Mus musculus: one gene and its partner. The protein of the gene in region 1 purifies or fractionates together with the protein of each later gene. This does not show direct contact. Links are inferred from orthologs where the notes say so. Each region holds a gene or a part of one and is shown in the gene's direction. Other genes may lie near its edges. The genes, in order: Asb1 and Cul5.

Region 1 (3,809 bases):
AGTTTTTGTCAAAATGAAATATGGAGCTTGTTTGCATGGGAGGATTTTGTTAAGGAATTAATAAGTCAGTGGCGACAGAGTTTGGAGTTTACCTGTGCTTGGATTTGCTGTCAGCCATGTCTCACAGGCAGAGATTAACCTGTGTGTCTGTCTGATTGCCTGCCTGATGCCTACCCCTCACTTCTCCCATCTTGTCAGAGGACATATGAGTTGATAGTTTGTCGTTGGTCCTCTATTTCTCAAAGAACATTAGTAGCAGTGTGTTTTTGTTAGCTATACTCAAGCCAGGTCTCAGAAACATGTTCCTGTTTAGCTTTTCTCCAAGGTGCTGGCTGATGGCCTCCGGGTGGGAACCAGGAACAGAAGGAAGCTTCTTCTGGTCACCTTCCCTTCCTGAAGCAGGGGTTTAGCTGTGTAGTTTCCATCGAGGCAGGAAGACCGGCAGCCTAATCTCTGAGTTCAAGTACTGTGCACTTGGTGTCCCCAGGCCTCTGTGACCTGCTGGGACAGAGCAAGAGCGAAGGTCATTTGTTCTCATCTGTGGGTCCTCCATGGGTGGCCTTTTTCCAGGGCACTAAGCATTGCAGAGGGAGGAGTGGCTGACAGATGAGCAGATGCCCTGGCTAAGATGCAGATAGCAAGCCTTCTAGTAGCTCCCAGAGCCTCCTCGACTCAGATGAGGAAGGTTGGCTTTGGGCCTTCCGAGTTACGAGAGAAGTAACCTTTCCCTCCTCTTTCTCCTCACACTCCCCAGGTATTCCCAGGACCTTGCTGAGTTTGTGCCGGGTGGCTGTGAGAAGAGCTCTTGGCAAATACCGACTGCATCTGGTTCCCTCGCTGCCGCTGCCAGACCCCATAAAGAAGTTTTTGCTTTATGAGTAGCATTCACATGCAGTGCTGACTGCAATGTGGAAGCCGATCACCTGCAGTGAAAACTGACACAGACTCTGGCATCCTGGGAACCATGGCCTGTGCTGCCAGCTTGATCCTTGGCTGTCAGTGAAGAAGAAACGGCTGTGTTCTCTTGGACTGTGATTCTATCTCAGGTGCTTGGGCCATCGAACGCTCCTTGAGTCATTGTCAACTGAGAGGCACATACAAACTTAATTTTGTTCCTCTTCAGTCTCTCTGTTTTGGATTCTTCCTGGCAATGTGTGCAGCATGGGCTGAGCCTGGTGATTGCCCTAGTGGGGAAGGCTTTTTTCTCCAGGCTATGCATCTATTTATGTTCCTACTTTGCAATTTATTGTTCTTTTAAGGCTTGATATCAAAACAGAAAGAGGTTTGTTAAGAAAAGATATAGGGAGAAGGAATTCGGTTCGTGCACTTGCTAGCCTGCTTTCTTGCCTGGGTTTGTCTGTCTATGCTGCCTGGTGCACATCCCTTCTCTTTGCTGCCACTGTTCTATTTTGGGAGTTGTCTTCCGTCTAAGATGGCTTCTGGGGTTCTATCTTATTGCACAGAGGTCCCAGAACAGTGTTCATAGGGCACCATCTGCTCTGCCAAGGGTTTTCTGATGTCTTACCCTGGGGATCTTCAGACAGTGGTTACCTTTAGGAGACCCACCTGGAACTAACCATTAAGTGACTGCCCACATTCAGATCAGGGACCATCTTAATAGTACTCACTGCCAGTCCTCACAAGAGAAGATGACACGGGTGCTCTCTTCAGACACTCCCATACAGGAAGTGGAAAATGTCTTGGTCACCTGGGTGGTTCCAGGCTACAACTTCTTGGTGTCCACTAGACAGGATATCTAGGTGTTGGGTGACTGTTCCTCCCACTTTCTGACCCAATGCCTTTGTGGGTGCTTCTAGAGGTCTTTCCCTGTCCTGCCCAGGGCTGTTGGTGGGTGAGAGAGATGAGCTTATTGCAGGATTGCAGGTTTGTTTAACTCTTGAGTGGTGAGTGTCACAGCAGGTGGGCCCATAACCACGGCCTTGAGCATCCTTAGGTTGCTCCTGTTTCAGTGAAGTCACCTTTTGTCATTCTGAAGCCTGTTAGGATTACTGTGTGGACCTTGCTGATTATAGACTTGAGAATATTTGGGACAAGCAGGTAATAAATCTGTTTAGACTTTTGGCCATAAAGGGGATTTAACTTGTTAATACTTTCCTAGTGTACCATTTTGTGTTTTAGCTGACCAGTCAGGCAGTTGGTAGCCTTGGGATTCTGTGGATGGAGTTCCAAACCCCACCCCAGTGCCTCAGGAAGGCCCAAGGCAGCAACACCAAGCTGGTCCAAATGTACTACATGAGTTTTGATGAGCCTTGCCCAGTCCTGGACAGTGAGTCCTGTGTCTGGGGCAGGAATGAGCTGGCCAGAGCCTGTCCCTGTCTCCCCACAGCTGTTCTGTGTGGCCCCAGCACAGCTCTTCACTTGGACTTGAGTAGCTTTCCCTGTCTCAAACCAGTTTTCAGAACCTTTCAATCACTTCAAGGTTCTGCATGTTCAGAATTTCCAGCCGGTAACTCTGAATGTGACACAGCATCGGCATGGACTGAGGGCACTTCCCCTTGTCGCCAGTATGCTATGAAGGCACTGCATGTCATTGCTGTCAAGGATGAGGTACGGGGTAAGAAGCACCCCAGGTTCATGAGAGGTACCATAGGAAGTTGATGTGACTTCGGTGAGGACTGACCCTCTACTCAGCAGACTTCTGAGCTCTGGTTACCTGTGTCCTTCCTAGCATGGGGATGTGGGTGTCTGATGAACCTACTGCCTTCTGGCTGAACTGGCCCTAGCAGAAGAGCTTAGTGGTCCAGAGGAAGGAGCCTGAGGGTTGTCCCAGCTCATCAAAGGGGTATTTGTGGGGTTGTTGCTGTTACTGGGGCAGCCACTTGATTTAAGTGAAGACTTGTGTAGTGGAATCTTGGCTAGGCAGGTTGGAACCAGTGATGATCCCTCAGAATTTATCTTTTCAGTATTGGGCTTTTAGACATATGTCCAGAAACCTGCCAAGGCAATGCCATACATTTTGTAGCTATTTTACTTGTGATGTCTATCTGTCTGTCTGTCTGTCTGTCTATCTATCTATCTATTAATCTATTATCTACTTATCATCTATGTATTTATGTATTTATTTGTTTATATATTTTTGTATTTATTTATTTATTCATATTCTTTTTCCATAAGAGGACTTAAGCTGGAGAGTCTTATTTTGTTTTGACAGTAGATTGGTAAAGTAGATAATTGGCATTTTTCAAATATTGACCAGTACTGATGTCAGGCTTAAGGACCATTATTTCAGAGTTTCCCCTTTTCACTTTCATGAATGAATTTTTAGATAAAAATTTCCTGAAAGATAAAGTCCTGACTGTGGGCCAGAGCGGAGGGAAGTTCTTCATGCCTGAGAGCTGCTCTGGCCTGTGCTCAGCCAGTTCCTGGAGCAGTGTCTGCTCTGCAGCAGACAGGAAGAGCTCTTCCTGTGCCTTTCCAGGGACCCTGCTGAGGTCCTGTGAAGTGCCGAGGCTGCAGACACTTTGTTTGGGAGGGGTCTCTGTCCTGAGAAAACTGCTTCCTAGTGGAAGTGCACTTACGGTGGTCACAGTGCTGAGAGCCCACAGTCTGGATTTGGGATTGACCTTGTGGGGCGGTTGGATCATCTTGACCCACAGTGCAGCACCAACAGAGAGCCATTCGAGCAAAAGGGTAAGGGTGGCTTGTAGTACTTGAGGAAATCAAATTTCCTCAGCTGACTGGACTGCCTTTTATTCTTCAGTCATGTCATTCCTGACAACAGAAGGCTTGCTGGAAAGGGATGGTATGGGGCTATGGCTTTGCATGTAAAACACTTTTGATTGGGATCC
Region 2 (4,499 bases), on another chromosome or scaffold:
CTCTCTAGCCTTTACATTTAATTTTTGCCATAGCACTATGCTATAGATGTTTTAATACTAATTTCACAAACAAGATAACTAAGGCCCATTGTGAAGTAGCAGATTTTTTTTTTAAGATTTATTTATTTTATGCATATGGGTACGCTGTAGCCGTCTTCAGACACACCAGAAGAGGGCATTGGATCCCATTACAGATGGTTGTGAGCCACCATGTGGTTGCTGGGAATTGAACTGAGGACCTATGGAAGAGCAGTCAGTGCTCTTAACCACTGAGCTATCTCTTCAGTCCTAAAGTAGCAAATCTTAACTCACTTTAAGTGCTATATTGTTTAGATAGGGGTCTCACTTTATAGCTCTAATTGGCCTGGAACTTAAGAGTGTGCTAGGATTAAAGGCATGCTCCACCACACCCAGCACGAAGCAGATATAAAGAACTCTTGGCCTTTTCCGAGGGAGGCGTATACCTATAATCCCACCAGTCACTCTGGAGGCAGAGGCAGGCAGAACTCTAGAGTTCTAGGTCAACTTGGTCTACATACAGAATTCCTGGCCATCCAAGAATACATAGAAAGTCTTCTTTAAACATAGCTACCTGGAATGCTTGGGGCAAAAGGAGTTTTCAGGCATAATATATGAAATAAAATCCTTCAGAGTGGAGCCTGAAAGTCTGCTTTTCTAAGTAGCACCCCAGGTTATATTAATATAAAGAATGCACTAGCAACGTTTGAGAAACTTTTGTTTTCTTGGGTTTTTTGACCTAGCTGTTCTGAAACTTGCTCTGTAGACCAGGCTGTCCCCAATCTTACGGAGATCCTCTTGCCTCTGCTTTGAGTACTGAGACTAAAATTGTTGGACAGTGAGAGATGAGTTTCAAAGAAACAAATTTGATACCAGGTGGTGGTTTCCCACACCTTTAATCCCAACACTTGGGAGGCAGAGGCACCTACCTCCACTCTCCGAGTTCAAGACCAGCCTGGTCTACAGATGGCGTTTCAGTACAGCCAGGGCTACATAGAGAAACTGTCAAAAACCAATCCAACCAACCAACCAAGCAACTAAAACCCCCAAAGGGTAGTATTAGGAACTTGCATAATGCATTAAATAACAGCTAACCTGAGAGATCCCTGTATAAATTACATTCTCTTCCCTTGATCAGAGATTCGTGATCAGAAGCGATGCAATTTGGAGAAAATACTATAGGGTGCTCTAGGATATGTCTTAAGGAACCCAAGATTAACAATCACTTCTTGAACAAGCAGGGTTTTTTTTTTTGTTTATAGGAATAACAGTACGTTTGTGCATCATTTATTAATTGACTGGGCGCCTTCTCTCAGTCAGCATTTCCTGAGGACAGCAGTAAGAAGCCTTCCAGGCTAATCTAATCCTGAGCTCTGAATAGCCATTCCGATCTGGGGCGAGCGCGTGAGGGCTGCGCCGGCTCCAGCCAGCAGAGGGCGCGCTCGCACCCTCCGCGCGGGCCTCGGGACCCAGTGGCTTGCTGTCGCCTGGGTTGCTCCCGAGCACGCCCCCGCCCGCCGCGTCACGTGACGCCGCCACGGACCCTGAGGTGCGGGCCCTAAGCCGAGATAAAGTCGTTGCCGGCGGCCCAAGCGGGTGCAAGCCCAGCGGCAGAAGCGAAGGCGAGCTGGGGAGGCCCGAGGAAGTGGCTACTACCTCTTCCCGGTCTGGTCGGCTCCCGGTCCCTTCCCACCATTCGCCGCTCGCGTCTCCTCAAGCGTTTGCATGCGCTCTCTCGCGTGGGCAGGCCGGGGTGACCATGTAGCTGGAAAGCCCGAGGAAGCACGGCTGCCCGGGACGAGCTCGGCGCTGACGGCACGCCGCTCCGGCGTCCCCCGCATCCCCCGCCGCGGCCTGCGGGGTCCTGCTGGGAACCCCGGCCTCTCGAGGAGGCCTGGCCCCGAGCGCCGCCAAGTCTCGCCCCGTCTCGCGAGAGTCCAAGTTGAGAACATGGCGACGTCTAATCTGTTAAAGGTAAGTCCCCCCGGCTGCAGCCGGGCTTTTGCCCGGCCATCGATGCGCTCGGCTCCCGGGGAAGGACCGGGCTCCGTGGGAGCGGCAAGATGTGTATGAGGAGAGCGGTTCGGGGTTGTCCACCGGAATGAGCCGGGGTGGCTGTTGCCCGAGCACCCCGACGCCGGGCCCTGGCCTCGGGGGTCCAGAGGACCTGGTGGGTTCCTCCCGCCGGCTCACCGACTCGCAGCGATGCTTTCAAGGGACCAACCCCGGCTGGGAGCGAGAGCAGTGTCGCTGGGCCGCACCAACCCATCATTGTGACTCTTGGGGCCCGTCCCTTCTGAATGGAGTGTCAAAGACATAATAGGGGAAAAAAATCCCAGCAAAATGCTGCCTAGCAGGTTTCAATGGCTGGTCCCCCCATGCTCCCCCAACCCCATTCCTTAATTTCTGTTCGCACTCTGCAGGAACTGTGAGTTAGACAGCAGTGCCTGCCTGCCACTTCACCTCTTTCCTCCCTTCTCTGAATGTCACACCTTCCCACCAGTTCTCTCACGCCTGGCCGTCTATTTCCACCTTTTCTCTGTCCCTTGAGGAACTGTCTCCCAATCCTGACCTCCCTTATAGGACATCGATGGCACCCGATCAAGTGCTGCTGTCCATCCTTTTAGGGTGTAGAAAAGTTTTCATTTAAAGAAAGCATTGAAAAGTTGTAAATGCCAGGAGAGTCCCAGGGCGAGCAGGTTATGTAGAATCATCTCTAAAAAAATGAGGATTGAGGAAGACAATTGAGGCGAGTTTGTGTTTTTTAGTAAGAATTCTGACCTGAACTTACTAACTGAAATATGGGACTAGTGATTACCTGAGGGGACATAAACACTATGTTCGCAGGCTGTGTGAATTAATAATAATAATAATAGATAATAATAGATAATGCTCCCTCCCCCCTAAAAAAGGGTCTCATTGGACCCGTCTTGCCAGAACTTGCTGTGTAACCTAGCTGGCCTTGAAGTCACAGAAATCCATTGTCTACACTGAGGCTGAGGGGAATGAAAAGGCCTACCTGACCCAGCTAGGAGTAAAGATAACTAGGATGATTTTTAAAGCTCTGCATTCCAATATGGTAGCACATACCTTTAGTCCCAACGCTCTTTTTTTTTTTTTTTTAAGATTTATTTAAGTATATGAGTACACTGTAGCTGTACAGATGGTTGTGAGCCACCATGTGGTTGCTGGGATTTGATCTCAGGACCTAGGAAGAGCAGTTAGTGCTCTTAACCACTGAGCCATCTCACCAGCCCTAGTCCCAACATTTTTGAAGCTGAGGCAGGCTGATCTCTGAATCCAGGCCAGTCAGGGCTGTCATTAGAGCCTGACTCAAAGCAAGAGAGAAAAAGAAGTACTGTAACTTCATGACAATATACTGGAAAGACCAGTAACCAACTGAGTGAAGTCAGATGCCAGAAATAGGAATTTTCAAAAAGATCTTTGTAGCTTTACCTGATCTTGGTACTCACTGTGTAGACCAGGCTGCTCTTGAACTTAAGAGAGGATTCTGGGTGTTCCCCACAAGGCCTGGCTGATAGTCTGATTTTCTATAGCTAGTACTGTTGTAATATGAAGGACATAATAAACAGACATTTGATTCTGTTATCTCTACATTGTCAAACATTTACCTATTTTAGTTGTTGGAACTTTTGGGGAGAGGGATTCCAAATACTCATATTTTGAAAAGTACTAATCATAAAATGGGGAGACTGAAGTTTGTCTTTGGAATATGTGAGGACCAGCCAGGGTCTGTCTATGATTTAATATATGGGATTATTAAATTCAGGGCTGTTACTACCTTGAGTAGCTATAGAGCTTACTGGGGAGTGGCCAAATTAGCATATTTTTTGTTGGACTAGTATATTGGCTTATTTGAGAAATGCCTTGGACTTATGCAAGTAGATTTTACCAAAGAGAGAATTAGCATGTCCATCGGTCAGACAAGAGTAGTGTGAGTCAGTCCCAGATCTACCAGCTGTACCTGACACATGCTGAATAATGAGCCCGAGCCCCTTCAGGGGGAAAATCTCAGCTTGCTTGTGACTTCCAGAAAGGTGGTTTTTTTGTTTTGTCTCATTTGTTTGGGGTTAGGTTGTTTTGTTTTTATAGTTGACAGAATTCAGAGAAATAACTACTAGTACATTTGAGAAAATAAGATTAGAAACTTTATGAAATTTCTAAGAATCTGATGCAATAAGATCTGCTTTTATATTGGCATTTTATTTTATTTGGGATCATGTTTTCTGGTTAGATCAAGTGAACTGTCAATTGGATTTTGGCAATTTTTTGAGTATGTAGTGCATATTTGACAATACAGTTTGCAACTGGTTGAATCTTCTGACTCCGTTTCATGTGGGACCTATCCCTGTTTTCCTTACACAGTCTAGCTGTAGAACATTTCATCACAGCCCCGTTTCATCTCCTACTTTGGATTACTTGATACTTAATTCTGCCTGTTCTTTTTCTTTTGTAGTTGT

The links.
Region 2: the proteins of Asb1 (region 1) and Cul5 purify together in Homo sapiens (affinity purification with mass spectrometry; 6 studies listed by BioGRID and IntAct, counting the BioPlex papers as one, with this or other methods). This does not show direct contact. The link is inferred for Mus musculus from reciprocal best matches to the Homo sapiens genes ASB1 and CUL5.

The regions. Positions count from the first base shown.
Region 1 is NC_000067.6:91,553,997-91,557,805, forward strand, and holds part of Asb1 (ankyrin repeat and SOCS box protein 1), read left to right. Parts: intron 1-754; coding exon 755-882; 3' UTR 883-3,809. UniProt on the Homo sapiens protein: Probable substrate-recognition component of a SCF-like ECS (Elongin-Cullin-SOCS-box protein) E3 ligase complex which mediates the ubiquitination and subsequent proteasomal degradation of target proteins.
Region 2 is NC_000075.6:53,664,531-53,669,029, reverse strand, and holds the start of Cul5 (cullin-5), read left to right. Parts: upstream 1-1,522; 5' UTR 1,523-1,968; coding exon 1,969-1,992; intron 1,993-4,499. UniProt on the Homo sapiens protein: Core component of multiple cullin-5-RING E3 ubiquitin-protein ligase complexes (ECS complexes, also named CRL5 complexes), which mediate the ubiquitination and subsequent proteasomal degradation of target proteins.